Linked DNA regions of Anolis sagrei. The protein of the gene in region 1 purifies or fractionates together with the protein of each later gene. This does not show direct contact. Links are inferred from orthologs where the notes say so. Each region holds a gene or a part of one and is shown in the gene's direction. Other genes may lie near its edges.

Evidence for each region.
Region 2: the proteins of UBE2O (region 1) and NAP1L4 purify together in Homo sapiens (affinity purification with mass spectrometry; 3 studies listed by BioGRID, with this or other methods). This does not show direct contact. The link is inferred for Anolis sagrei from reciprocal best matches to the Homo sapiens genes UBE2O and NAP1L4.
Region 3: the proteins of UBE2O (region 1) and EPB41L5 purify together in Homo sapiens (affinity purification with mass spectrometry; 3 studies listed by BioGRID and IntAct, counting the BioPlex papers as one, with this or other methods). This does not show direct contact. The link is inferred for Anolis sagrei from reciprocal best matches to the Homo sapiens genes UBE2O and EPB41L5.
Region 4: the proteins of UBE2O (region 1) and BUD23 purify together in Homo sapiens (affinity purification with mass spectrometry; 5 studies listed by BioGRID and IntAct, counting the BioPlex papers as one, with this or other methods). This does not show direct contact. The link is inferred for Anolis sagrei from reciprocal best matches to the Homo sapiens genes UBE2O and BUD23.

The regions. Positions count from the first base shown.
Region 1 is NC_090022.1:119,358,627-119,365,946, reverse strand, and holds the start of UBE2O ((E3-independent) E2 ubiquitin-conjugating enzyme), read left to right. Parts: upstream 1-4,306; 5' UTR 4,307-4,432; coding exon 4,433-4,846; intron 4,847-7,320. UniProt on the Homo sapiens protein: E2/E3 hybrid ubiquitin-protein ligase that displays both E2 and E3 ligase activities and mediates monoubiquitination of target proteins. Negatively regulates TRAF6-mediated NF-kappa-B activation independently of its E2 activity.
Region 2 is NC_090021.1:246,256,345-246,263,801, reverse strand, and holds the start of NAP1L4 (nucleosome assembly protein 1-like 4), read left to right. Parts: upstream 1-4,451; 5' UTR 4,452-4,571; intron 4,572-7,457. UniProt on the Homo sapiens protein: Acts as a histone chaperone in nucleosome assembly.
Region 3 is NC_090021.1:223,336,285-223,343,513, reverse strand, and holds the start of EPB41L5 (band 4.1-like protein 5), read left to right. Parts: upstream 1-4,206; 5' UTR 4,207-4,725; intron 4,726-7,229. UniProt on the Homo sapiens protein: Plays a role in the formation and organization of tight junctions during the establishment of polarity in epithelial cells.
Region 4 is NC_090031.1:33,213,238-33,220,577, forward strand, and holds the start of BUD23 (18S rRNA (guanine-N(7))-methyltransferase), read left to right. Parts: upstream 1-4,332; 5' UTR 4,333-4,385; coding exon 4,386-4,433; intron 4,434-7,340. Other genes in the region: TBL2 (transducin beta-like protein 2), read right to left, coding at 1,220-1,371, 3,437-3,621, 3,763-3,887, 4,012-4,243.

The DNA.
Region 1 (7,320 bases):
ACAAGAAAGTCAATGCCCTCCAAAGGTTGTTAAATTCATCAGTTGAGGCAATGTTGAGGATAGATGGGAATGCAGTCCAACATCATCAAAGGGCTCTCCTATTCTGCCACTTGTAATATTATACCATTCTGTCTCTCCAACTTATGTGATTTGGCATGTTCTGTAAAAAGAAGGGGAATACCATGCTGCTTTCCTGCCATCAGCAGGTAGGAATCATTGCCCAGGTATGGTAGAATATCCTCACCACCCCCATGTAGTATTGGTTTAGTCCCTTTAGTGTTTGTTAACATGTATTTTTCATTCAGCTTTAGAAAGTTAACTCCAGGGTCATGGAATTTTGACTCTACAATCTGAATAACACACAGCATTATACAAGACATACCAGACAACTTAACCACCCAGTAATTCTGAGTACATGACAACACTACTCCTTAGAAATTTCTAGTAACATAGGCAACTCAGTATATCACACTTTTACTTCACAGGAACCTATGGGTAAGAGATATCTCTACTTATTACTGTGATTCCAGTTAGAAAACAAAATATCCACAAGATGGAGCCAGAGTTTCCAGAAAGAGAGAGGGAGGGAGGGTGGGACAAGCAGCAATAAAGGATACAGTTGTGCCCAGAAGCTGAATTACACCTCTCCTGGGCCACTGGGGCTTCTTGCTATTTATACGATAGCTGAAATGAAAACCCAGTAATCTGAACCATAATGGCTATTTTTCAAGCAAAAGCAAAATATAAAAAAAACTTAGAATATTTGGAGAAGAAAAGTACACACTAAAGGAGATGGAGAAACAGGAGTTCAAATGTCATGTACACATATACATCACATTGGGGGTAAATTGGGATGGGACACATATGGCCTTCAATTGATGGGCTGCAACTTCTATTATGTTATACTGGTTAGGGCCGATGGGAACTGAAGTTTATCATCTGGTGGACTAAACATTGCTCACTCAGTTTAATGCTTTGCATTACTGTTCTAAAAACAAAACAAAAATCCCATACATAATGGATTAGAAATATAAAGGCAAAATATGATACTGCATAGAGAACTCAAGTAGTTTCATTTTGCCCTGAAGACTTAAGTTTCACATATACACATCAAAACATCATTAAGATGATGGGACATTGTTTCTCTTTTGCTTTGAAGGGCATGGTTCTTAGAGACAAGACTTAAATGTAGCAACTTCTTGAGCTTTGTGCACCTTAGTAATATGAATCTCCACACTTGTTCCTAGGAACAACATAGAGATTTCAATGTAGAGCACGTGGATACCCTTCTATAACTTGGGTATGTGGGTTATCTTTTATAACTGTAAGATTAATCAGATCTTAAGAAATTATTTTTATGTTTCCCTTAGTTGCAGCTATCCATTTATACTATATTCATGTCCATGGAAGGATGCAACAATTGCACTGGGAATAAATCTTAAGAATGGCTGTTAAAGCCTCATATTTAAATTATTCTGTTAAAATACTTGCACAATATATTGTACAAAATTACACTGCCAGCCTTGATTGCTAAACACATTGAAGATAATGAATAAGACCTGGGGCGAGATTTTTTGTACAATTAAGAAATTAATGCTAAACTCTCAATAAAATCACTATACTGCCTCTACATTTATAACATTAATACTATCTCATTTTTTTCTCTATACAGAAACAAAGCTTCACTCCCCACAGCTTCTACTTAATTGGGCTTTTATATCAGGACCTCTTGCACTAGGATGACCATTAGACTCTTGTGAGCATGAGACATTAGCTCCAGAAACTCCCATTGCCTTCCCAGCTTCTGAATTTCCATGTCACAATTAGACTCCCTCAATTTGCTTTACATCTAAGCTAGCAGTGATGGATGTCCAAAGGAGTTAATTGAGAGTAGTGCACTCAAATTATTCCCATACCAGACTTTAAGGGTTTTCAACATCACAATAATAGTACCAAAATTATACCCTGATTATTTTTATTAGGTAAAGAAAACACCTCTCTCCTCCTTACTTTCAAATTTCAAAGCAACCTTTGAAATTGAGTGTATTCGATTTTGCTCTTCAGACAATGTTTCTCTCCCATGCCTTCAATTCCTCATATCCACACTCTTGCAGCCATCAATTTAATCATTGTGTTTATGCTTTGGCTCAAATTTTCTACTCCCCCCACCAAGACTTTCCCTCCTTCTCCTCCTGCATCTTTGCTGTTGTGTGTCTTCAGTCATTTCTGAAGTATACCAACTCTAAAGTGAACCTATCACAAACTTTTGGGGCATGACTTGTTCGGAGGAGGGGGCACCTTTGTCTTCCTCTGAGAGAGTGTGACTTACCCCAGGTCACTCAGTGGGTTTCCACAGCCAAGTGGGTATTTGAACCCTGGTCTCCCGGTCTTCACTCTATGCTCAAATCGCTGCCCCACACTGGCTCTCTTTCCCCATGATTCTTTCTCTGGGCCTAAGCTACAATACAGACCCAGAATGAGACAAAGGGGGCAAATGCACAACAGATGGCTTAATTTGAAATCCTCTTTTTCCCATTTTATCTTTGTTCGTTTGCTTTCCATTTCACTCCTTGTCCGCCTTCCCATTTTGAGAGCCACTCCCTCCATCTTCAGCAAGACACTCATGGACAGCCAACTTCAAATTACTTCCTGCCCCTAACAGGGAACAAAGCCAGGTAGGGGCCTTTGGGGGCAGACACTGGGGAAAGGAGGACAAAAAGGGAAGGAGGTAGAGACCCACCCCCAAAGGTCCCTCTACTACACTGTAGAAGGCCTTTGGCGTTCTCTGCTAAAGAGTGGTGGTGCCTCGGCAAGCTCCAAATCCTGGGATTTCATGGCATTGAGCAGTGATGGTTCCAGTGGTTTGGAACTGCCTTCATCTGTAGCAGGCATGGGCAAACTTTGGCCCTCCAGGTGTTTTGGACCTCAACTCTTACAATTCCTAAGAGCCTCAGGCCTTTTCCTTTTCTCTCTCAGCCGCTTAAGCAGAAAAGCTTAATGCCATCAATTGGGGACCCCTTCCCCCAGCACCAACTGCTGCTCTGGGCCAGAGTAAAGAGAGAGGGGGACAGTTCCATCTTGTCTCCTGCATATGTCATCAGCTGGGGACCCCTCCCCACAGCACCAACTGCCGCTCTGGGCTACAGTGAAGGGGAGGGGGGCAGAACACAGTTCCACCTTTTCTCCTGTGCTATTCTAATCATATAATATAATATATTGTGTATATACATATAATATTTATAATAATGTAATGCAATATAATAATATAATTATATATTTCTATTACATGTAATATTACTAATATTACATGTATAATATAGTAATATTTAATACTGATATTGTACTATGCTAATAATATAATATATTGTATGCATATCTTGTAAGCCGCTCTAAGTCCCCTTCGGGGTGAGGAGGAGACTCAGAGATATTTTATTTATGTCGTAAATAAATAAAATAAAGGGAAAAGGAAGGGGGGCTGAGACTGTTAGGAATTGTGGAAGTTGAAGTCCCAAAACACCTGAGGGGGGGGGGGGGAGGGGGAGTTTGCCCATGCCTGCTGGAGATGAAGGCAGTTCCCCACCATTTGAACCATCACGGCTCAATGCCATGAAATCCTAGAATTTGGAGCTTGCCGAGGCACCACCACTCTTTAGAGCAGTGGTTCTCAACCTGTGGGTCTCCAGATGTTTTGGTCTTCAACCCCCAGAAATCCTATCAGTTGGTAAACTGGCTGGGATTTCTGGGAGTTGTGGAGCAAAACACTTGGGGACCCACAGGTTGGGACCCACTGCTTTAAAAGAACGCCAAAGGCCTTGTAAAACTCCAGCTCCCAGGATCCCAGAGCATTCTGCCATGGCAGTTACAGACAAACTGCATGGATTCTGTCTTGTGGATGCGCCAAGACTAGGGAAGGGGAGCACCTGTCAGCTCCGCCTCTGCTTTGCCTCGTAGGGTGGGAAGGGGCGCCATCTTATGATGCTCTACTTGAGGCATCAAAGGCCTGTGAGCACCTTCTGGAGCCCTCCTCCTCCTCACAGAGACACGCTCGCGATTCTCCCTGTTTTCTGTGCTGTGTGCCACAGCCCTCTTCGGTTGTGAAAGCTGCCTTCCCTCTCTTCTCAGGCGCCGAGGCCTTCCCTCCATCCACCTCCATCCCCTTCAGAGAGGAAGATGTAGGCCCGTCCCTCTCCCCTTCTCCCTCCCTCCCTCCTCAGGCTGCTCTTGGCCCCGCCCCCTCCTCGCTTTGCTATTTGACGCGAGGCGTCGCCATCTTGGAGCCCCGCCCCCTACCGAACGCGGACTGCGCCTGCGCGCGCCGGGAAAGCGAGCAAGCGAGTGAGCGAGAGTGAGCCAGGCGGCCGCCGTCGCTGCTGCTGCTTCTCTCCCTCCCTCCCTCCGCCCGCCTCCTTCCTTCCTTCCTCCCCCCTCAGCCATGGCGGAGCCGCCACCGACCACCGGGACGCCGCCATCTCCAACGCCGCCATCAATAGCAACAGCAGCACCCGGCGGCGGCTCGCAGCGCCTCCTCTTCACCCATGACTTGGTCTCCGGCAAGTACAGGGGCTCGGTGCGCTTCGGCCTGGTCCGCGTCATGCACGGCGAGGACTCCGACTCTGAGGAAGACGACGGCGGGGGAGGAGGAGGAGGAGGGGGCGGAGGGGGAGGAGGACGAGGCCCAGCAACAGCAGGAGGAGGAGGAGGAGGGGGCAGCTCGGCGGGCTCGGAGTCCGGGGGCCCCGGAGGAGGAGGAGGAGGGGAAGAAGGCCGCGGGAGCCCCCTCCGCCGCGGCTACGTGCGCGTCCAGTGGTACCCCGAGGGCATCAAGCAGCACGTCAAGGAGACCAAGGTAGGCCCCTCCCGAGTGGGCAAGGAGCGGGGGAAAGGAGATGCCGAGGCAGGAGCAGCAGCAGCAGCAGGCCCTCTGTGGGCGTGGGCCTGGTGGGGGCTGCGGCAGGGGAGGAGGAAGAGGAAGGGCCGCCCTGAGGAACCTGAGGGAGGGTCGGGGGTCTTAAAGGAAAGTTGGCGAGGAAAGAGGGCGGTGGCAAGGAGGGAGAGCGAGGAGAAAGGACGGGGACATGCTCTCCCTCTGTGTGTGTGTATTCCTCACACATATATACAGATATATATATATATATATATATATATATATATATATACACACACACACACACACACATACAGATATATATATACAGATATATACACACACAGTTACGACTGTGGAATGACCTGCGGAAGAGCTCCAACAGCTAAACAAACTCAACACCCATCCCTTCTGGCAGGCCTACCCAGTCAACTTGCTATCATGTGTTTTGATTTGCACTCTATTGCCACGACTGGCGGAGGTGGGTGAGCGATGGGGTCTCCTCAGTGGTGGCCCCTCGCCTGTGGAACTCTCTACCCAGCATTCGAACAGTAGTAGAGGCAGCAATTGAGAATGAGACACAATTTATGTGAATGACAATGGACTGACCTGGACTACAATTTCAAACCTGTGTGATTTAAACAATGTTTGAGTAATTTTATGTTCTAATTGCTTTTATTGTTTATTACTGTTGTTGGCATTGAATGAATACCTGTTGACAAACTTGAATTGGAAAATGACTCTGGAACGGCCCAAGACGATGGAACTGATAAGGACTTGAATGAGAGGATATAGTTTATAGCTTTTAATATTGTTATTATGCACTGGCTTATGTCTAATTGCACTATAATGGTTCTTTTGTTTATCAATGTATGTATTTTTATGGCATCGAATTGTGCCGATTGTGTACGCCGCTCTGAGTCGCCTCCAGGCTGATATGAGCGGGATAGAAATAATGCAAAAAAAAAAAAGTTGTCAAGCCGCCCTGAGCCTCCCTCCGGGGTGAGAAGGGCAGGATACAAATATGCAAAATAAATATATGTCAATTTTGTAGCAGTGTTTGGTATAAGTTTTCAAATGTCTGTGCTTGGCAATGCAATTTAGTAATTTATTGTATTTTTATTTACTTCACTTGTATTCCGCTTTTCTCACTCGGGGGTGTGTGTGCTCAAAGCTGTTTCCAACATGTGTTGTTGAAAGCTTGCGTGGCCGGAATCACTGGGTTGCTGTGAGTTTTTCGGGCTATATGGCCATGTTCCAGAAACATTCTCTTCTGACATTTCACCCACATCTATGGCACGCATCCTCAGAGGTTGTGACCTCTCAACCTCTGAGGATGCCTGCCATAGATATGGGTGAAATGTCAGGAGAGAATGCTTCTGGAACATGGCCATACAGCCCGGAAAACTTATAGCAACCCGGTTTCCAACATATTTCTGACAAAACATAATGCCTCGCATACATATGAAACCTAACATAAAGCGAGAATAATATAACTATCAATTAGATCATACAAACCTAACAACATTTAAACATTAAAACATAGAATTAAAACATATTAATATAAATGGTAAAATCACATAATCCAGAAATAATGGTCCAAGGCCATGTATTTTTATGTTTGTTTGTTTGTTTTTTAATTAGTTGTACCCCTCCTTGAGCCATCAGGGAAGGCAGATAATGAATAAAATGTATTACTATTATTATGCACACAATCTCACACACATTGATATAGATATACATATACACACATAGGTTCTCTCTCACACACATACACATATATACACAAAAACATATATACATTTGCACATATATAGATACACATCCATCCCCTCATACGTACCCTATACACACACCCACACACATATATATACATACTCTCACACAAATAAATATTGCTAAAGATATATACTTTCTCTCTTACATACAGATATATACACACCCACACATATACTGAGTGTGCCAAAAGTCACAAAGGGGTTTCAATATTTAATAATTCCTTTGTGCTTTGTTTTTAATTTACAATGTTCACAAAAGCATATATAGAATATATAGGAAATGAAATTGAATTACATTATATATAAAATCTTTTCAAACAAAAATTTCAAAGAATTATTGAAACATTAGATGCCTTTGTGAGTTTTGGCCCACTCTTTGTATGCACATTTATATATTTACATACATGCACTCAAACATACGTATGCATACATAGATAAGCACACATGTGTACATATATATACTGTATATACACTCACGTGTATAGCTCACACATGCATATATGCATACATACATTCCTTCAAGAATGCTACTATTGATTGATATTATAAATACTGTATTATCTCAGGCCAGTGTGCTCTGAAAAAGCTGCCTTACATTGTCCACATTGCATTGTACAGGTTGTACAGTTTTCTATTTTGGAAAGAAAATCATATTTTTTTTCTCTCTCTCTCTCTCTC
Region 2 (7,457 bases), on another chromosome or scaffold:
GATGAAACAAGTACTTGTGCAGTCCAGGGGTGAAACCCAACAGGCTGTGTCCTGGGAGAGCATCAAAGTTATGATTCTCTACAGCTGGGATCTGCAGTGCTTCAGAAACCCCACAGGCTGTAGTGTTGCCTGGCTTAAGAAATAAGTTTTAAGGTTGTCACATCCGGTCAGTAACAAACTGAAAATGTGAATCCATAAATGTGAAGTGGCAGAATTACAAAATCTGATTTACAATTTGCAAATGTTAGACAGAATACGAGCCCTCATATTAATTTATAAGGAATAATACAATTAGCCAAGTAAAATGTCAAGCACATATTACATCTGCTTACGAATTTTTTTTCCACTAAATAGACAATGGAATCCTGTATGACCACTACGTCGTGCCACAACTACAGTGCAGGTTACTTTCGACCCCCTATTCTACATTTTACATGTAAGGTAATATGTGTTAATTTAAGGAACAACACTCCGCCCCTCCCTCTTAATGGCCAAAGACTCTTCTCTCTCCTGCATGGGAGAGAAAGGTTCAGCTGAGCTTTCTCCCTGATGCGCTTTATGGCTTGAGCCAGCTCATCGTACAAATTGGCCCTGACCCAAGCAGCTATATAGGTTGGTTGAGGTCATCAAGCAGCCTCACTTCAGTGAAAACTGAATTGCTTAGTTTGAGCCACATCAAGTTGAGGTCACAGTTCATGTGCACATATGGCCGGCCTAATACTTGCTGGTTCAGCTGCCAGCATAAATTGATGGTGCATCAAATTGTATTGTTCAAGTGTGGCTGTGCTTTGTGACTGCTGCTGCCTTGAGCTCTTTCCCTAAACTCACTTCTATGGGAGCCCCTTCCTCGGGATCTTTTCCCATGGCCTACATAAGGTGCTACCACTGGTTTCCATCGCTTCAGTCATCAGTGCCTTTGTGGCATCATCACCTATATCATATCCATTCCTGCTCACATCACAGAGCTATTTGCATCTCTAGGAGACAATCTACAACACCTTTAAGTGCCATAGCTTACCATATTTACCTTGTGAGCCACACAGGTGAACAACTACCTGCACAACATCTTTGTATCGTTCCCACTTATGGTGAGCATTTCACTTGTAAGTACATAGCGGTCTAAGGCTTATACGTGCCAATATCTAACTTGCAATGAGTCATTTATATAATTATCTATATATTAAAGTCAAAGTGTGCATTTTTGTTGATATGTACAACAAAGGCAGTTGCTAGGTGAAGCAGCCCTGTGTGAAGTCACTGGAAAAGAAAGGTGACGTGTATGAGGGGGAGGGAAGAAGGAAGGAAAGAGCCACAAAGAGCACCTTGTACCATGGAAACATTGCGAGTTAGGTCCTCTCAGAGCTGGAGAAGAGGGAAAGGAGAGGAGAAGGAAGGGAGGGGGGAAGGAAGGAAAGGGTAAGCAGGAAGGAAGGAAAGGGGATGGAAGAAGAAAGAAACAGAAAGGATGGAAGAAAAGGGTAAAAGGTATGAGGGGAAAGAAAGGAAAGAAAGAAAAAGGATGAAAGCAGGGGACAGTGGCTCCTCCAACACTCAGGCAACACCAGTCTATGAATATTTTACAATTTACTTTTTGAAATGCATTGCTTTCATTACTTTAGGTAGGTATGACTTTGCTCTGTAGTAGTGTCTATAATGGCCTTGCTAAGGTTGCATACATAGGATACCCTGCCACAGAGTTCTGTGAATTCTGTACATGTGTTATTTGGATCAGCCAAAAAAGATGCTCAGTATTCATGTCCTCAAGAGGAGGAGGAAAAGTGATACAGAAGACACTTACCGTTGTGGTCCAGAGTTTGGAAAATCACTTCTTAAAATTAATTATTCCCAAAGCAAAGACTTTTAAGTTCAGAATTGTTAAATTTAGTTCATCACTTCCAAACTCTGGCTTGGAATAGTTAGAAGATAAAGAAGAGCTGTCTGGATCAGATTAAGAGCCCGTCTAGTCTAGCATTCTTGTAGCATATCTTACTACAGGAAAATAACTGGAGGCATCCTCACTGAATTTCTGCAGTAACCTCCCAAGGAAACCCAGAGGTACCTGCAGATACTTGTTGCCCTGCTAATTCTCCTGTTCTAAAAATACAATACAGAAATTGCCATATTAAGGTTGGCTGCACTGCGTACACGGTGGGCTTTTGGAGGCACTGCCGTATGTATATATTTCTGAATGCAGAATTCCACTCATTTAACATTTAAATGACAACTCATCACAACTTGATAAGCCGCATCGAGTCCTTCGGGAGATGCTAGCGGGGTACAAATAAAGTTAATAATAATAATAATAATAATAATAATAACTTCCTATGGAATCCAGGGATTTGCAGTATAGGGAAGGACACTTAGAAATCTCAGCCAGACAGTTCATGTAGGTGCCTCACCAAATTACAAATCTTATGACAAATGCCAGTTAAAGTAGGATCACGGTGGTATAACAGTGTGGTGCTACAATCCTTCTACCTGCTTAAGGGTTGGTGTCTGATGAGGGAGGGAAGCTCTTCTGTGTCCTATCAGTGAGATCAATACATTTCATGAGGACCTGGGACAATACCTTTTCAGGCATGCCACTCCCATTCTAGAATGCTCTGTCCAGGCTGCCACTATTAGTCTCATTTATGTACCAATGAAAAACATGGGCTATTTATTAGAGCTTTGAGCCTTCACTACATGAAATAATTGCAAGATAAAATAAAATAAAATGGGATTTTATGTCAGACTTGCGCCATCACTAGACCATTGTTAAAGCCCACTTCCTAGTCCCTACTTCTGCTTTCCTCTTTGCTGTTACATATGTATAAAAGGACACACCTTTCTTTTTTTGTCTCCTCGTTGCTGTTGCTTATTTCACAGGTTTGTGGGGAAAGGGTTGAGAGAGCCCAGTATAAGAATAGTAGCAACTACTGACATGCTGGCATTCCCATATTGGTCCAGAGGAGAGTGTGGAACACTCTTCTGTTGAATCCCCACTCCCCACTCAGCCATGTAAACCCACTCAGCTTCATAAGAAGCCAATTATAGTTCACTTTAGGATTATCATAAGGTGGACATGACTCAAAGGTCCCAAACAACAAGGTAACACTAACATTCTCAAATAGGTTTTTTTATGTTTTATATATTAAACTCCAAGATATCATTATTTATTTGTTTAAATGTTTCCATTCCTACTCTTCGTGACCTCATGGACCAGCCCATGCCAGAGCTCCCTGTTGGCGGTCACCACCCCCAGCTCCTTCAAGGTCAATCCAGTCACTTCAAGGATGCCATCCATCCATCTTGCCCTTGGTCGGCCCCCCTTCCCTTTTCCTTCCATTTTCCCCAGCATCATTGTCTTCTCTAAGCTTTCCTTTCTTTTCATGATGTGGCCAAACTCCTTCATCTTTGCATCTGCTATCCTTCCCTCCAATGAGCAGCCGGGCTTTATTTCCTGAAGTATGGACTGGTGGGATCTTCTCGCAGTCCAAGGCACTTTCAGAACTTTCCTCCAACACCACAGTTCAAAAGCATCTCTCTTCCTTTGCTCAGCCTTCCCTAAGGTCCAGCTCTCACATCCGTAGGTTACTACAGGGGGAATACCATTGCTGCTCAGGCCCGTAGCCAGGATTTTTTGGGGGGGTGGGGGGTGGGGACTGAGTTTGTTTTTTTGGGGGGGGGGGCTGAGTCTGAGTGAAAGAGGGTCTACCCTAGCAAACGTTTTGTATCGTTACCCCAATACCCCCATGCATATGAGATATATTGAGTATGGTGATCAGATCATGACATGAATAAACATAACAGTTTAAATAATGTACCAGGAAGGCCTTCTCGCGGACCACCATCAGAATTTCAACCTCCCCCCCCCCCCCCCCGGCTACATGCCTGCCATTGCTTTAACTATGTGGATCTTCGTTGCCAGTGTGATGTCTCATTATCTATATGAAAATATTCCAAAACCTGAAACACTTCTGCTCCCCCAAGTATTTCGGGTAAAAGGAGACAGAGTGTGCCTACACTGTAGAATGAATGCAGTTTGACACTACTTGAACTCCCACGGCTCAATTCTATGGAATCCTGGGAGTTGTAGTTTTTCAAGGACTCTAGTCTTCTCTGCCTCACCAAACTACAAATCCCACAATCCCGTAGCACTGAGCCGTGGCTGTCAAAGTGCTGTCACAGTCGAATCCGTGCAACTAGATGCAGACGCGCCCCCCGCCGGAGCCTCTCCCGCTCCCCTTCCCCCCTGCATCGCCCGAGTCTTTGGCGCTTGGCCCCATCCCGCGCATGCGCAGCGACCGGGCTTCCCCCTCCTTCCCTCCCTCCTGACGCAGCGATTGGCTAATCCCTTTACTGCCGGAAAGTCAACATGTCCCGCGTGTGGAGCAGCGGCCGCGGCTCACCTCGGGCCAATCGGGGCGGCTCTTACTAGGCGGGGCGCGGCTGCCTCGGCCAATGGGAGGCGGTCTTGTTGAGGGCGGCGCAGCCCCGAGCGAGCCTGTGAGAGGGATCAGCCTGGGCGCTGGTGCTGCTGCTGCTGGTGGTGGTGCTGCGGCCGTGAGGAGACGCCGAGGCCGGGCCAGGTGAGGACGGGCGGCAGTGGGCCGGGCGCCTCGGGGAGAGGGCTCTGCCGGGCGGGGCGGCGAGGCGAGGGAGGCGGCGGCGGCGGGTCTCGTTGCTCTCGGCCGCGGCCCGGTTGACCAGGAGGGGGAACCAGTGGGCGGGCGGGGCAGTCCCAGCGCGGGCACCATTTTAAGGAGCGGCCACGGCTCCCGGAGGGCCCTTCTAGGCCTGAGCCCTGAGGGCAGGCCCGGCCCGGCCCTCCTCGCTCCCTTCAACTTTCCTGGGCGTTTCCCCTCGGCTCAGGCCTCGTTGCCTTCCGCCCCGAGCCCTCTCCCCGCCTTCCTTCCTTCCTTCTCCTCCGCCATGTGGCCGGGGCCTTCTTCTCCGTCCGGCCTGGGGCAGGCCCCGCCGCTTGAGAACGGGCCGCGAAGGCAAGGTGGGGACTGGAAAGGGGCGCCCTTAAGCGGCTCGGAAGCACAGCCCGTGGAATCATGGAGTCACAGAGCTAGCTGGAGCAGCGCACAATCCAAGCCCTCCCGGCAGATGGCCACCCAGCCTCTGCTTGAAAATCTCCACAGAAGGAGACTCCACCACACTCCGGGGAGGCAACATGTTCCACTGCCGAACAGTTCTCGCCTTCAGAAGTTCTTCCTGATGTTCAGGTGGAATCGCTTTTCCTGCGGTTTGAATCCATGGATCCGTGTCCTCGTCTCCAGAGCAGCAGAAAGCAAGGCTTGCCACATAAAAGGCAGTGGTTCCCAGCCCTTTTTTGACCAGGGACCACTCTCCAACATTAATATCAAGAGGGTTACAAATAAGTTTTTTTTATCAACTTTAGATTTGGTTTGGTTATTTGGGGTGGTGATTCCGAAAATTGCATTGGATAGATCATATCAGTTCTAGTTTCTGATACAGAACATATGCCATCCAGTAGTTGCCAACTGCTTGCCTACAGAAAACCATATTTAGTAATCTAGAGCCAGTGTGGTAGTAGTAATCTTTTATGGGAAGTCAGCCGCTCCCCTCCCGACATCCCTGTTGCCTCAACACTATAAGATGGTTTCATGAGACCCGTTGCTCTCATTGCCGTGTGGTTTTGATGCAAAGGTGTAGTAATAGTGAGGCTGCGGACCATATTTTCATTTTTGGGGATCACTGGCGATCTATAGATCACAGGTTGGGAACCACTGATATAAGGGTAACTGGTGCCCTCTCTTGTTACCAACATGCATGTTCTTAATAGGAGTGCTTCATCTGGGACCTTTTTTCACACACAAGGTTCTGCTATACAATTAGAGTTGGAATACACCACAAAGGCTATCCAGTCCAACTCCAGTCTGACAATCAAAGCTCTCATGACAGATGGCCATCCAACCTCTGCTTGCAAACGCCCAGAGAAGGAGGCTCTGCCCCAGTGAATTCCACTATCAACCAACTCTTACCATGAAAAAGTTCATCCTCATGTTTAGGTGAAATCTCTCTTCCTACAAGTGTCAAAGCTTTGCCGTAACGCACCTTTACCAACCCTGATTTTATTTGTGTTAGCACTTGTCCTGGGAGTTATTTTTTCCACCCTGGTGTCTTACACTCTGCTTGCTTTCTTGAGTGTATGTGCCTTCGGTTTGCCTGTCAATTTATAGCTACCCCATGGATTTAATAGGGTTTTCTCAGACAAGGAATTCCCAGTTCCTTTCTCTGAAATATAGACTATCACCTGGTATTCATTGGTAGTGGCCCATTCAAGTGCTAAACAAGGCTGATCCTGCATAGTTTCCAAGGTCAGACAAGATCTGGTGCCTTTAGGTTAGTGGTTCCCAATCTTTGTCTTCCAAGTCTTTTGAACTTCAGCTTCCTCAATTCCTAAAGCTCGTAAGCTTACTCAAATTTCTAGGAGTTCTGGAGGACCAAAGATTGGGAACCACTGTATTAGGAAATGTAGGCTGACTGAGTATTTGGAGAACACCCCTTCCCACTCATTCCATGGACTAGAACAACAATATGTGTCTTCACATTGCCTGTTGACTTATGATGATGCCACAAATTTTATATAGTTTTTAGTTAAGAAATACTCTGGGTCTTTGCCAGTTCCTTCCTTTAATATAGGGCCTATAGCACCTGTTATTCATTGGTCACCCATTCAAGTACCAACCAGGGTTGATCCTTCTTAACTTCTGATATTAGACAGAATCCGGTGCTTTTAGGGTATTTTTCACCCTTCCCTGTAAATGTCTATGCCTCTGTGATTTCCAGTTCTGTAATAGAAGTTAAATTTTCTCTTGCACTTTGGCTTTGCTATGTGTAGCCTTTGCAGGAGGTAACATCTTACAGGTACAGATATATAGTTGATTTATACTCTGTTGGAGTTGGGGAAAGTATGTTAGATAAAAGATGTAGAAATACCTTAAGCTTAGTCGGACTTTATCAAGTTTAATCATTTCCTAAACAAGTAGATTCAACCAGCTGTTTCAACCGATGTGAACCTTGTTTTTGAAGCACTGTTGTGGTGTTGATCAGAAGCTTGGATCAGTCTTATTCACTTTATTATTTACTTAGGACTATATTGTTAGGACTGAAATTCTCCCATAGAAGGTTATCTAAAGAAAAGAAAAAAATCTTTCAAAATGGAGCATGTTACCATCTTACCTTAGAATGATATGAGTTTGAAGAGACCCCAGGACCATCCAGTACATCCCCATTTGCCATGCAGGAAGCACTCATAACAGATGGCCATACTGCCTCTGCTTTAAAATCTCCAGAAAAGGAGACTCCACTATGCTGCAAGGAAGTAATCTTAATATGATCACTTTTTTCTGTTCCTGAGTAAACAGGTTCTATTTCCTGCTAATAAATAAAATGCTTCCCCTTTCCTGTAGTATGGTTTCTTTTGCAGCAATTCTCCCTGTGCT
Region 3 (7,229 bases), on another chromosome or scaffold:
TTGCAGTAGTCTATACGGGATGTAACCAGTGCGTGGAGTACTGTGGCCAAGTCAGACTTCCCAAGGTACGGGCGCAGCTGGCGCACAAGTTTTAATTGTGCGAATGCTCCCCTGGTCACCGCCGAAACCTGGGGTTCCAGGCTCAGCGATGAATCCAGGATCACACCCAAGCTGCGAACCTGCATCTTCAGGGGGAGTGCAACCCCGTCCAACACCGGCTGTAACCCTACCCTGTTCGGCCTTACGACTGACCAGGAGTACCTCTGTCTTGCCTGGATTCAGTTTCAATTTGTTATTATTTCATTATTGGCGATTTGTATGAAAAAACCAATTAGGAACTGCCATTTATAATGAAATTTTGAGAGTTTTGTTAGAGCTTTGAAGTTTTCACCATCAGAACTTTAGTTTTGTAAGTACTTTAGAACCATTTAGAACCATGCATTGCCCAGGCTCAGGAGTATTGTGCTCCAAAATTCTCTCTGAATTTGGAAGTCCCAGAGTAGTTTGACGTGTTCATTTTCTGTAACTTTTTCAGGCTTGTGATCTCACCAGTTCTTTGTTGCAGGCACATGGTATTTGTGGCACAAGTTCCAATGAATCATCTGAGCAATGGTGTTATGCCTCTGCTTGTCGTCTGTCTGTGTGATCTTCTTGCAGCAGCTGAGGATATGATCTATTGTTTCATCTGCTTCCTTGCAGTCTACACTTGGCATTTGTCGTAGACTTTTCAATTCTAGCTTTAATGGCATCATCATCATCATTATTGAGTGGGCAGATCAAAAGACAACCTGGCAAAATGATGCAACCTAAAAGAATCCATCTTGTGCGACTGTGGAGCAGAACAGACAACTCAGCACCTGTATGCTTGGCAGCAATGCCTTGCCTTATGCATAAAAGAATTGTTTGAGGCTACAGACAATGTGGTCACTGTTGTCCATTTTTGGTCAAAAGATATTTAGCCGGTTGTGCTCCTTCTAGTTCTATCAGTTTTATACTATTTGAGGCAATGCTTTTGATATGAAAATAAATAAAATGATAATATTAATGTGCATAAGACATGGACAAACTTCGGCCCTCCAGGTGTTTTGGACTTCAACTCCCACAGTTCCAAACAGGGCTGAAGTTTGCCCATGCCTGGTGTAGAATCAATGAAGTCTGACCCTACTTGAAGTGCCATGGCTGAGTGCTATGGACTCTTGGGAGTAGTAGTTTTGCAAGGGCTTTGGCCTCCTCTGCCAAAGGGGGCTGGTGCCTCATCAAACTACACTTCCTGGGATTCCAGAACATTGAGCCGTGGCAGTTCAAGTGGTGCCCGACTGCATTCATTCTGCAGTGGAGATACAGACGTGTGTTTAGGCTTGGGCCCCAGCACCAAGCGATCTCATGATATAAGAGGTATGGGCAAACTTGGGCCCTCTCTCCAGGTGTTTTGGACCTCAACTCACACAATTCCCAACAGCCTTATTTATTTATTTATCATATCAGAAGTGAACCAATGTGTTTGAGAAAACAAAGATTAAAAACTTGGCATTATATTAAATGTCCTTTGACAAGTAGCTGCCCACTTGGAGTGCCTCTGGTGTTGCTATAAGGTCCTCCATTGTGCATGTGGCAGGGCTCAGGTTGCATTGTAGTAGGTGGTCTGTGGTTTGCTCTTCTCCACACTCGCATGTCATGGACTCCACTTTGAAGCCTCATTTCTTAAGGTTGGCTCTACATCTCATGGTGCCAGATTGCAGTCTGTACAGCGCCTTCCAAGTCGCCCAGTCTTCTGTGTGCCCAGGAGGAGGGAGTCTCTCATTTGGTATCAGCCATGGATTGAGGTTCTGGGTTTTAGCCTGCCACTTTTGGACTCTCGCTTCCTGAGGTGTTCCTGCGAGTATCTATGTAGATCTTAGAAAACTATTTATTGATTTAAGGGCATGCTGGCTGATATCTGAACAGGGAGTGGGCCAGAGATGTCACTGCCTTGGTCCTTATATATAAAACATATAAAAGCCAAAAAAAAAATGTGGCCATGTCAAATCACATACACAAGCAAATGTTGAGCTGCTACTTCCTGGTGGATGTCAGGTGGTGCAATACCAGCTAGACAGTGTAATTTCTCCAGTGGTGTAGGGCAGAGGCAGCCTGTGATAATGCAACATGTCTCATTAATAGCCACATCTACTATAGAACCGGGCTGTGTGAGAGCCAGCTGCATTAAATCACTACTGACCAAGAGGCCATGAGTTCAAAGCCAGCCTGGTCGGAGTGAGCGTCCGGCCATTAGTCTAGCTTGCTGTTGACATCTGCAGCCCGAAAGACAGTTGCATCTGTCAAGTAGGAAATTTAGATACTGCTTTATGCGGGGAGGCTAATTTAACTAATGTACGACGCCATAAAAAAAAAAACCTTCCAGCAGCGTGCAGAAGAATGAGGAAGTATTCTATCAAAGGACTTGGTGTCACAAATGGTGAAGCAGCAGCTAACCTGTGGCCGGAATCAAGCATACCCCCATGAAACCGGAATGCTGGAATGTTAAATTGCCTCTGTGTCTGTCTATATATGTTGTATGTCTAATTGGCATTGAATGTTTGCCATGTATATGTGCACGGTAATCTGCCCTGAGTCCCCTGAGGGGTGAGAAGGGCGGAATATAAATACTGTAAATAAATAAATAATGATATAATATTAATAAAGTTTATTTATACCCCGCCACCATCTCCCCAAGGGGACTTGAGGCAGCTAACATGAGGTCAAGTCCAAGAATTACAATAAAGCAAAGTAAAATACAAACAAGAAAATAATAAACATCAATGTAAAATGCAAACAATAACAAAATATACAATAAAGCAAACAAAATAAAATGGTAGAGGAATTAAAACACAGTGGACAGGCGAAATGCAAAGGATAAAATTTATAAAAACCGGGGTGAAATGAATAAATGGAGTAAGGTGTCTGAGCGGAGACTCAGAAGGGGCAAACAATGGGGTTAATCTTCACTAAGGGACGCAAGAAAGTGCATCCACAGGACAGATCTATACTGGGACGGACATGGTGTGGGGATTTGTGTTCATTCGTCAAAGGCACACCAGAAGAGCCAGGTTTTTAGGCCTTTCTTAAAGGCTGCCAGAGTAGGAGCTTGCCTAATCCCACTGGGTAGCGACTTCCAAAGCCGAGGGGCCACCACGGAGAAGGCTCTCACCCTCGTCCTGTGCTTGTGATGGAGGTGGGAGTGAGAGGAGGGCCTACAGGTTTGTAGAAAGAAATGCAGTCATGGAGGTAGGCGGGTCCCAAACCATTGAGGGCTTTGTAGGTGATAACCTGCACCTTGAATTGGGACTGGAAAATGAACTGGCACTAAGCTCCGAGCGTTACGGAGATGCCACAAAGGCGGCTGTGAATAAGGGAAGGGGGGGGAGTGATAGCGGGGAGAGAGAAGGAAGGATAGAAAGGAGGGGATGGTTTAGGGTTAGTGTTTGGGTTAGGGTAAGGGGTTAGGTTTAGGCTTATGGTTAGGGTAAGGGTTAGGGGGTGATAGTATGATAGCTGGGTCCAGAAGCTCCGAGTGGTTTGGGTTTGGGTAAGGGGTTAGGGTTAGGGTTACGGTACAGTTCAGGGTTAGGGGGTGGTAGTATGATAGGTGGGTCCAGAAGCTCCAAGCGGTTTGAGTTTGGGTAAGGGGTTAGGTTTAGGCTTACGGTACGGTTCAGGGTGGAGTGAATGTATGATAGCTGGGTCCGGAAGCTCCGAACAGTTTGGGTAAGGGGTTAGAGTTAGGCTTACAGTATGGTTCAGGGTTAGGGTAAGAGTTAGGGGGTGAATGTATGATACCTGGGTCCGGAAGCTCCGAGCGGTTTGGGTAAGGGGTTAGGCTTAGGCTTATGGTATGGTTCAGGGTTAGGGGGTGAATGTATGATAGCTGGATCTGGAAGCTCCGAGCATTACGGAGATGCAGCAAAAGTGACTGTGAATAAGGGAAGCGAGGAGGTGGAGTGAGAGCGGGGAGAACGAAGGAAGGATAGAAAGGAGGGGATGCTTAGGGTAAGGGTTAGGACAAGGTTTAGGGTTAGGATTTCACCGTTAAACCACTCTTACATTCCTTCTATATGATCTGTCTCCGGCCTGGCTTTCATTAGCGAAGTCTCTCTTGCGCAAAGAGCGCTCCCGAAGGAGCGGCGCGGCTTCCGGGCCCAGCTCCCCTCCTATTCCCCAAAGCGGGTCCCAGGCCCTTGGGGCAAGGGGCGTTCCCGTGGCAGCGTTGCCCGGCGGGTCTCTTGAAGGCGGCAATCCTCTTAGTGGGGAGGAAATCCCACGCCTGGCTGGCGGGATTAAGGCTCCGGGCGGGGGGGAGGAGGAGGAGGAGGAGGAGCATCTGCTCCAGGCGGCCACGAGTTGCGCCTCGGAAGGGCAATCCGGCGGGCGGGCCCTCCGGCTCTCCTCCCCTGCCTACTCCTCTTGGGCGGGAAAGGGCTCGCGGTTTCTTTTCCTCCCAGGAACAGAAAGGGAGGCAGCAGCCTTTGTGTGCTTTCCTGGCTCCAGCGCCGCCTGCCCGCCCGCCGGCCGAGTTTTCCTCATTCTCTGAAGGAAGAAGAAGAAGAGGAGGAGGAGGAGGAGAAGGAAGAGCTCCTCCTCCTGCTCCTGCCTCTCCTCCTCCTCCTCCGCGGCCATTTGCCTCCGCCCCTCGTCGCCAAACGGGACTCATTCGCCAAGGAGCGGCGGCGGCGGCGGAGAAGAAGCAGGGTAAGGGGTGTCGGCTTCTTCCCTTTTGGGGGGGTTTCAAGGGGAGGAGAGGCGGGAAAAAGGGGGGGGCACACGCGCTTGCAACCCTGATCTTCCCTCTCAAAAGGTAGGCATAGGCAAGGGGGACGCCTGCTCCTGGTGGAGTCCTGCTTTGGTTTTGTTTCTAGTTTCTCCAAACTAAAATATATAGAGACACACACACAGAGACACCGTCCCATCCTTCCCAGTGGATCAATCTGGAATATTGTTGTCACCTCCCCCTCCCCCGGGATCCCTCCAGGGGGCGCCCTCCCAAGGTTTCTTCCTCCCTCCAAACAAACCCATTTGCAGTGGTCGAGGAAACAATTAGTAGTAGGTTCTTCTTTATTATTTGGACCCAAACAAAGGGTCTCCTTTTAAACTTTCCAATTCTGGGTGGTTGTTTTTTTCAATTTGCCCCATCAAATATAGACCCAAACAAAGCTCCTTTAAAGGTTTCTGATTCAGGGTTGCTGTGAGTTTTTCGGGCTGTATGGCCATGTTCCAGAAGCATTCTTTCCTGACGTTTCGCCCACATCTATGGCAGGCATTTTCAGAGGTTGTGAGGTCTGTTGGAAACTAGGCAGGTGGGGTTTATAGATCTGTTGAGTGTCCAGTGTGGGAAAAAGAACTCTAGTCTGCTTGAGGCAAGTGTGAATGTTGCACTTGGCCACCTTGATTATCAGCTTCAAAGCCTCTCTGGTTGCTGCCTGGGGATCCTTTCTTGGGGGGGGGGGGGGGGTAACTGGCCCTGATTGATTCTTGTCTGGAATTCTGCATGATAGGGTTGTTGTGAGTTTTCCAGGCTATATAGCCACGTTCCAGAAGCATTCTTTCTTGATGTTTCACCCACATCTATGGTAGGCTTCCTCAGAGGTTGTGAGGTCTGCTGGAAACTAGGGAAGTGGGGTTTATATATCTGGAATGTCCAGGGTGGGAGAAAGAATTCATGTTTGCGTGAGACAAGTGTGAATGTTGCAATTGGCCTCCGTGTTTAGTATTGAACAGCCTTCAGCTTCAAGGTCTGCTTTACAGCCTGGGGGAATCCTTTGTTGGGAGGTCTTGACTGGCCCTGATTGATTCTTGTCTGGAGTTCTGCTTTATTAGGTTGTTGTGAGTTTTCCGCGCTGTAGGGCCATGCTCCAGAAGCATTATCTCCTGACCTTTCTGCATTATTGGTTTTTAAAACTCCCTCCCCAAAATGTAGACACCCAAACAAGGATATAAACAACAACACTCTGAAAACAGACATGAAAAAAATCAGGGCCAGCTAATCACCTCCCAACAAAGGATTCCCCAGGCAGGAAGCAGCCAGACCTTGAGACTGTAAGGCTTTTTAATGCTAACCAAGGTGATTAATTGAAACATCCACACTTGTTTCTAATAGACAAGAGTTCTTTCTCCCACCCCGGACATTCCACAGATATATAAACCCCCCTTGCCTAATTTCCAATATATCTCACAACCTCAGAGGATGCCTGCCATAGATGTGGTCAAAACGTCAGGAGAGAATGCTTCTGGAACATGGCCATACAGCCCGGAAAACTCACAGCCACCCAAGGATATCGCTCTTTTAAAACTTTCTAATTGTGGATTGTTGATTTTGAATTTCCCTCTAAATATGTAGAAACAGATGAGGATATCATACTTTTTTTAGTTGTTTATAAATCGAGAATATTGTTTTGAATTTGCTATTAGCAGGTAATAATTTGGGGGAATTCAAGTTGTTTCCTCCAGGCTCCTTCCAAACTCCAGATATCACTTTCTACCTTTGTATACAGCATGTGTATACAAACATGATGGCCGAAAGCGAGGAGGAGCTGAGGAGCCTTCTAATCAAGGTGAAAGAAGAAAGCGCAAAAGCCGGGTTGCAGCTAAATGTCAAAAAAACCAAGATTATGGCAACAAGAATGATAGACAACTGGAAAATAGAGGGAGAAACCGTGGAGGCCATGACAGACTTTGTATTTCTAGGTGCAAAGATTACTGCAGATGCAGACTGTAGCCAGGAAATCAGAAGACGCTTACTTCTTGGGAGGAGAGCCATGTCCAGTCTCGATAAAATCGTAAAGAGTAGAGACATCAGACTGGCAACAAAGATCCGCCTAGTCAAAGCCATGGTATTCCCTGTAGTCACCTACGGATGTGAGAGCTGGACCTTAGGGAAGGCTGAGCGAAGGAAGATCGATGCTTTTGAGCTGTGGTGTTGGAGGAAAGTGCTGAGAGTGCCTTGGAGTGCGAGAAGATCCAACCAGTCCATCCTCCAGGAAATAAAGCCCGACTGCTCACTGGAGGGAAAGATACTAGAGACAAAGTTGAAGTACTTTGGCCACATCATGAGGAGACAGGAAAGCCTAGAGAAGACAATTATGCTGGGGAAAGTGGAAGGCAAAAGTAAGAGGGGCCGACCAAGGGCAAGATGGATGGATGGCATCCTTGAAGTGACTGGACTGACCTTGAGGGAGCTGAGGGTGGTAACGGCCGAC
Region 4 (7,340 bases), on another chromosome or scaffold:
TTGGGTATTTGTGTAGAGTTTGGTCCAGATCCATCATTGTTTGAGTCCACCATGCTCTCTGGATGTAGGTGAACTACAACTCCAAACTCTTCTAGTATTTTCTGTTGGTCATGGGAGTTCTGTGTGCCAAGTTTGGTTCAATTCCATCATTGGTTGGGTTCAGAATGCTCTTCGATTGTAGGTGAACTATAAATCCCAGCAACTACAACTCCCAAAGGACAAAATCAATTTTTTGAGTGAAGGACATACATTGGGTTGTGAGGTGTCTTGTGTCCAAATTTGGTGTCAATTCCCCCAGTGGTTTTTGAGTTCTGTGAATATCACAAACGAACATTACATTTTTATTTATATAGATGTGCTTTGATTTGTATTGTATTACGTTGTGAGCCGCTTTGGGCCCCATTAGGGAGAAAAACGGGATGGATATATATACACACACAAACACACACACAAAATTTTAAAAAATCCCAAACACTTTGGGTCCCAAACATTTTGGATCAGGGATATTTAACCTTTAAACTTTGAAACTGCTACCTGTTTTATTCACTTGCTGATTGTATCACCATCTCATGTCTCCACATGGGGAGCTGTAGCTGACAGAGGGAGCTCATCCACACTCTCACTGGATTCAAACCTCTAACCCAGGGGTCCTCAAACTAAGGCCCGGGGGCTGGATGTGGCCCTCCAAGGTCATTTACCCGGCCCTTGCTCAGGGTCAACCTAAGTCTGAAATGACTTGAAAGCACACAAAAACAACAACAACAACCCTATCTCATGAGCCAAAAGCAGGCCCACACTTCCCATTGAAATACTAATAAGTTTATATTTGTTAAAATGGTTCTTCATTTTAATTATTGTACTGTTTAAGTGTTTTTTGTACTACAAATAAGATATGTGCAGTGTGCATAGGAATTCATGTTTTTTAAAAAAATTATAATCCGGCCCTCCAACAGTTTGAAAGACTGTGACCTGGCCCTCTGTTTAAAAAGTTTGAGGACCCCTAATCTAAGCTTTCTATTTCTCATTTGTGTAACTAAGCAGAGTTAATTAACCATTAACAAACAGACTTGGCTAAAGGAAAGAGAAGGCAGAAGGGCCAAGGCAGAGGAAGTGTTTGCCAAGGCCTTGGATGTGATAGAATCCTAGAATCAAAGAGTTGGAAGAGACCTCATGGGCCATCCAGTCCAACCCCCTGCCAAGAAGCAGCATGTTTCCTCACCGGTGTCAGCGACTCCAATGTTGATGATGGGGGCCTTGTGCTGCTTCGGGAAATCCTCTGCCGTGGCGATGTACGTGAAGCTGCCGTCCTCTTTCTTGGTCATTTTGAAGAGCCGGAGGGTGTCTCCATTAGCCAGCCAGGCAATGAAGGCCCTGTGGGAAGAAAAGACAGGCCTGGGATGCAAGTCAGAGAAGCAACAGGCCAGTGTAGGGATGCACCCTTAATCATCAAAACTGTGAAATGGCCCACTCCACTCCTCCAAGGCTCCACCTCCTTCTTAATTGTCAACATCGACACCAAAATACAATACCGCCTGAGCTCTGCGAGTGCAGCATTTTCCCGAATGAAGCAGAGAGTGTTTGAGGACTGGGACATCCGTAGGGATACCAAGGTGCTTGTTTATAAAGCTATTGTCCTCCCAACCCTGCTATATGCCTGTGAGACGTGGACTGTCTACAGATGTCACATGCAACTCCTGCAACGATTCCATCAGCGCTGCCTCCGAAAAACCCTGCAAATCTCTTAGGAAGAAAGGCAGACAAACGTCAGGGTGCTGGAAGAAGCAAAGACCACCAGCACTGAAGCGATGGTCCTCCGTCATCAGCTCCGCTGGAATGGCCACATTGTCCGGATGCCTGACTACCGTCTCCCAAAGCAGTTGCTCTACTCCGAACTCAAGAACGGAAAACAGAATGTTGCCGGGCAGGAAAAGAGATTGAAAGATGGGCTCAAAGCCAACCATAAAAACTCTGGGAAGCCCTGGCCCTCGAGCGCTCCAGTTGGAGGTCAGCTGTGACTAGCAGTGCTGCGGAATTTGAAGAGGCACGAATGGAGGGCGAAAGAGAGAAACGTGCCAAGAGGAAGGCACGTCATGCCAACCCTGACCGAGACCGCCTTCAACCTGGAAACCAATGCCCTCACTGTGAGAGAAGATGCAGATCAAGATAGGGCTCCACAGCCAGCTATGGACCCACCCTGGAGGATTATCCTAGTCGGACAACGAGGGATCGCCTAAGTAAGTAAAATTGTACTACTCCATCATATTGTAATATTATTAGTTATATTACATGTAATAAATATATATAATTATAATATTATATTATTAGTATTATGTTGTATTACATTATAATATTATGAATATTATATCTAAATACAATATATTATATTGTATTTGTTGAGCCCTCAACTGGGCTCTCCAGGCCAATGGATACTCCACCTCAGACATCAGGAGAGCGGCAAGACCAAGAACAAGCCACGAGAGTAAAGATGAAGATCCACCCAGAGGAAAAGTGTTCCTGCCATACATCAAGGGAACCACTGATCACATAGGGAAGCTGATGAGGAAACACAACATACAAACAATCTACAAACCCACCAAGAAAATCCAACAAATGCTACGTTCAGCAAAGGACAAGAGGGATCCTCTCACCTCTGCAGGAGTCTACCGTATACCATGCAGCTGTGGACAAGTCTACATAGGGACCACCAAACGCAGCGCCCAAACAAGAATCCAGGAACATGAAAGGCACTGCAGACTCCTTCAACCAGAGAAGTCAGCCATAGCAGAGCACCTGATGAACCAGCCTGGACACAGCATATTATTTGAGAACACAGAAATGCTGGACCACACCAACAACCACCATGTCAGACTACACAGAGAAGCCATTGAAATCCACAAGCATGTGGACAATTTCAACAGAAAGGAAGAGACCATGAAAATGAACAAAATCTGGCTACCAGTATTAAAAAACTCTAAAATTATAACAGCTAAACAACAGAGAGGAAACAACCAGGCACAGATTAACACCTCCCAGCAACAGATTTTCCCAGACTCAGGCAGGCCTTCAAATGCTAATGAAGGTGATCAGCTAAACATTCACACCTAACTGCAGCAGGGAAGAGCTCTTTGCCCCACCCTGGTGATTCCACAGATATATAAACCCATTTTCCTACTTCCAACAGACCTTCTCAACCTCTGAGGATGCTTGCCATAGATGCAGGCGAAACGTCAGGAGAAATGCCTCTAGAACATGGCTCTATAGCCCGAAAAACCCCACAAGAACCTAGTGATTCCAGCCATGAAAGCCTTCGACAATACAATATATTATATTATTAGTAACAAGGAGACAAGATGGAACTGTCTTCAACTGTAGCCCCCTCTCTCTTCATTCTGGCCAGAGCAGCAGTTGCTGCCGGGTAAGTAAGCTGCCCCCTTACTTGGAGTCTGGGTAGAAGCGGACCAAAGTGGCGTGGTCCAGCTCCACATTGGCCCGCATGTAGCGATGCTCCCGCTCCAGGAAGTCCTTGGTGCTCCATATCCGCACAGTCCGGTCGTCGGAGCAGGACGCCAGGTACTTCCCGTTGCTGCTGAAGTCGAGGCAGGTGACGCTCCCGCTGTGGCCCTGAGGAAGGGAAGGAGAACCAGAGAGAGAGAGCCATGGGATTCTCGATCTCTCCAGACAGAGACGTCTTGCGATGGGGAGAGGAAGCAAAACAACAGACCTGGGCAAACTTCAGCCCTCTAGATGAACCTTAGGGCTCACCTTCAGTGCGGCTGCCAGGAGGGGGTGGGCAAAGCTGTGCTGCTGGGGTTTCTCTTTCCGAAGACGCTGATGCTGCTTCTGTTTCTTCACCAGAGAGGTTTTGCTGGACGTTTCACTGTCTAAATCTAGAAAACATGAAGCAAAATAGATCGAAAAATGCTTTGGCGGTGATGGCATGATCGTCGGTATAGATGGGTTTGAAGGCGGAGCGTGGGCGTGGCCTAGACTCCCGAGGCCCCGCCCCCTCACCTTCTCCGGCGCCGCTGGGCTCCTGCTCGGCCTGGCCTCGCCCCTTCGCGATGGTCTCGGCTTGCTCGCGGCTCGGGCCGCTTCTCCACCGCTGGAGAAGGAAAAGTAGGGCGAGGAGGCCGCCGAAGAGCAGCGAGAGGCCCGCCAGCGGCAGCGGCACCGCCTCCATCTTCCCTCCTCCGCTCGCCACGTCAGGAGACGTCGCCTCACGTGCAGGGAGAGAGATGCGCATGCGCCGGTGTAGAGTCCTCCTTCGAGGTGCACATGCGCACTTCACCCTCACTCTCGAGATTGCCCTGCGCGTGCGCGCCAGCCCCCGCGGGATTGGTCCAGAGCGCGTCGCGCGGATTTGACGTAAGGAAGCCGGGACAAAAATGGCGGCCTCTGGGAAGCGGCCAGAGCATCGCGGTCCTCCTGAATTGGTGAGGGAAAGAAGGGAAAGACTCGAAAGGGAGAGTCAGGGAAGGTTTGGGGTGAAGCTGGGCAAGCAAGCCAGTCCCTTAGAAGGTGGTGACTAAAATGATAAAAGGTCTGGAGAACAAGCCCTATGAGGAGCGGCTTAAGGAGCTGGGCATGTTTAGCCTGAAGAAGAGAAGGCTGAGAGGGGATAGGATAGCCATGTATAAATATGTGAGAGGAAGCCGCAGGGAGGAGGAGAGAGCAGATCCAGGGTCTGGAGAACAAGCCCTATGAGGAGCGGCTTAAGGAGCTGGGCATGTTTAACCTGAAGAAGAGAAGGCTGAGAGGGGATATGATAGCCATGGATAAATATGTGAGAGGAAGCCACAGGGAGGAGGAGGGAGCAGATCCAGGGTCTGGAGAACATGCCCTATGAGGAGCGGCTGAAGGAGCTGGGCATGTTTAGCCTGAAGAAGAGAAGGCTGAGAGGAGATAGGATAGCCATGTATAAATATGTGAGAGGAAGCCACAGGGAGGAGGACGGAGCAGATCAAGGGTCTGGAGAACAAGCCCTATGAGGAGCGGCTTAAGGAGCTGGGCATATTTAGCCTGAAGAAGAGAAGGCTGAGAGGAGACGTGATAGCCATGTATAAATATGTGAGAGGAAGCCACAGGGAGGAGGGAGCAAGCTTGTTTTCTGCTTCCATTAGGACAAGGAACAATGGCTTCAAACTACAAGAGAGGAGATTCCATCTGAACATGAGGAATAGCTTCCTGACTGTGAGAGCCGTTCAGCAGTGGAACTCTCTGCCCCGGAGTGTGGTGGAGGCTCCTTCTTTGGAAGCTTTTAAACAGAGGCTGGATGGCCATCTGTCAGGGGTGATTTGAATGCAATATTCCTGCTTCTTGGCAGAATGGGGTTGGACTGGATGGCCCACCAGGTCTCTTCCAACTCTTTGATTCTATGATTCTATGTGGCTTTCTATTTGGCACTGCACCTCCCAGAATCTCCATGGCAGACTCCTGTGGGAGAGGATTCTGGGAGTTGTAGTCCTCAAAAAAAGGTAGAAAAGCTTTGCAAAGCTCTGCTCTAACCTTTTCTACATTTCTGTCCCATTATTAGTATTATTATTATTATATTTCTTTACAAGTATTATATTGCTTTACTAATAATATAATATATTGTGTATATTTATTTATTTATTTAATTGGCAGTTTTGTATACCGGTCTTCTCACCTCCGTTCGAGGGACTCAGGCCGGTTTCCAACATCAATGTTACAGACCGTCATTAAAACCTCATATTCTGAATCACACTAAAACATTAAAATAGCAAATACAATCATATAATTACAGTGGTCAGTCGTCATCAAAAGTCATTATTCGTCGTCATCCATCCATATCACAGGAAAATGGCTCATTCATCGAATGCCAATCCCCAAAGCCAAGTCTTCACCTGTTTCCTGAACATTAAGATTGAAGGGGCAGTTCTGATCTCCAGTGGAAGGGAGTTCCAGAGTCGAGGGGCCACCACCAAGAAGGCCCTGTCTCTCATCCCCGCCAGGCATGCTTGTGAAGCCGGCAGGACCGAGAGCAGGGCCTCCCCAGACGATCTTAATATCCTAACCGGTTCATAGGAGGAGATGCATTCGGACAGATAGGTCAGGCCAGAACCGTTTAGCTTTTAAACAGAGGCTGGATGGCCATCTGTCAGGGGTGATTTGAATGCAATATTCCTGCTTTTTGGCAGAATGGGGTTGGACTGGATGGCCCATGAGGTCTCTTCCAACTCTTTGATTCTATGATTCTAGGGCTTTAAAGGCTAAAGCCAGCACTTTGAATTGTGCCCGGTAGCAAATTGGCAGCCAGTGGAGCTGGCGCAACAGAGGAGTTGTATGCTCCCTGAGTGCCGCTCCTGTTAGCATCCTGGCTGCTGATCGTTGGACCATTTGAAGCTTCCGAGCAGTCTTCAGAGGCAACCCCACATAGAGAGCGTTGCAGTAATCTAAACGGGATGTAACCAAAGCGTGGACCACTGTGGCCAAGTCAGACTTCCCAAGGTACAGGTGCATCTGGCGCATGAGTTTTAATTGTGCGAAAGCTCTCCCAGCCACCGCCAAGACCTGAGGTTCCAGGCTCAGCGATGAGTCCAGGATCACACCCAAGCTGCGAACCTGCGCCTTTAGGGGGAGTGTAACCCCTTCCAACACAGGCTGTAACCCTATGCCCTGTTCGGCCTTTCGACTGACCAGTAGGACCTCTGTCTTGTCTGGATTCAATTTCAATTTGTTAGCTCTCATCCAGTCCGACACAGCAGCCAAGCACCGATTCAAGGTCTGGACAGCCTCCTTGGTGACAGGTGGAAAGGAGTGACAGATTTGGACATCATCTGCTGTACTGCTGTATTATATTGCTGTAGTATTATATTGCTTTATTAATAATATAATATCATATATTGTATATACATATAATATTTACAAGAATGATTGACAACTGGAAAATAGAGGGAGAAACCGTGGAGGCCGTGACAGACTTTGTATTTCTAGGTGCAAAGATTACTGCAGATGCAGACTGTGGCCAGGAAATCAGAAGACGCTTCCTTCTTGGGAGGAGAGCAATGTCCAGTCTCGATAAAATAGTGAAGAGTAGAGACATCAGACTGGCAACAAAGATCCGCCTAGTCAAAGCCATAGTATTCCCTGTAGTCACCTACGGATGTGAGAGCTGGACCTGAGGGAAGGCTGAGCGAAGGAAGATCGATGCTTTTGAGCTGTGGTGTTGGAGGAAAGTTCTGAGAGTGCCTTGGACTGCGAGAAGATCCAACCAGTCCATCCTCCAGGAAATAAAGCCCGACTGCTCACTGGAGGGAAAGATACTAGAGACAAAGTTGAAGTACTTTGGCCACATCATGAGGAGACAGCAAAGCCTAGAG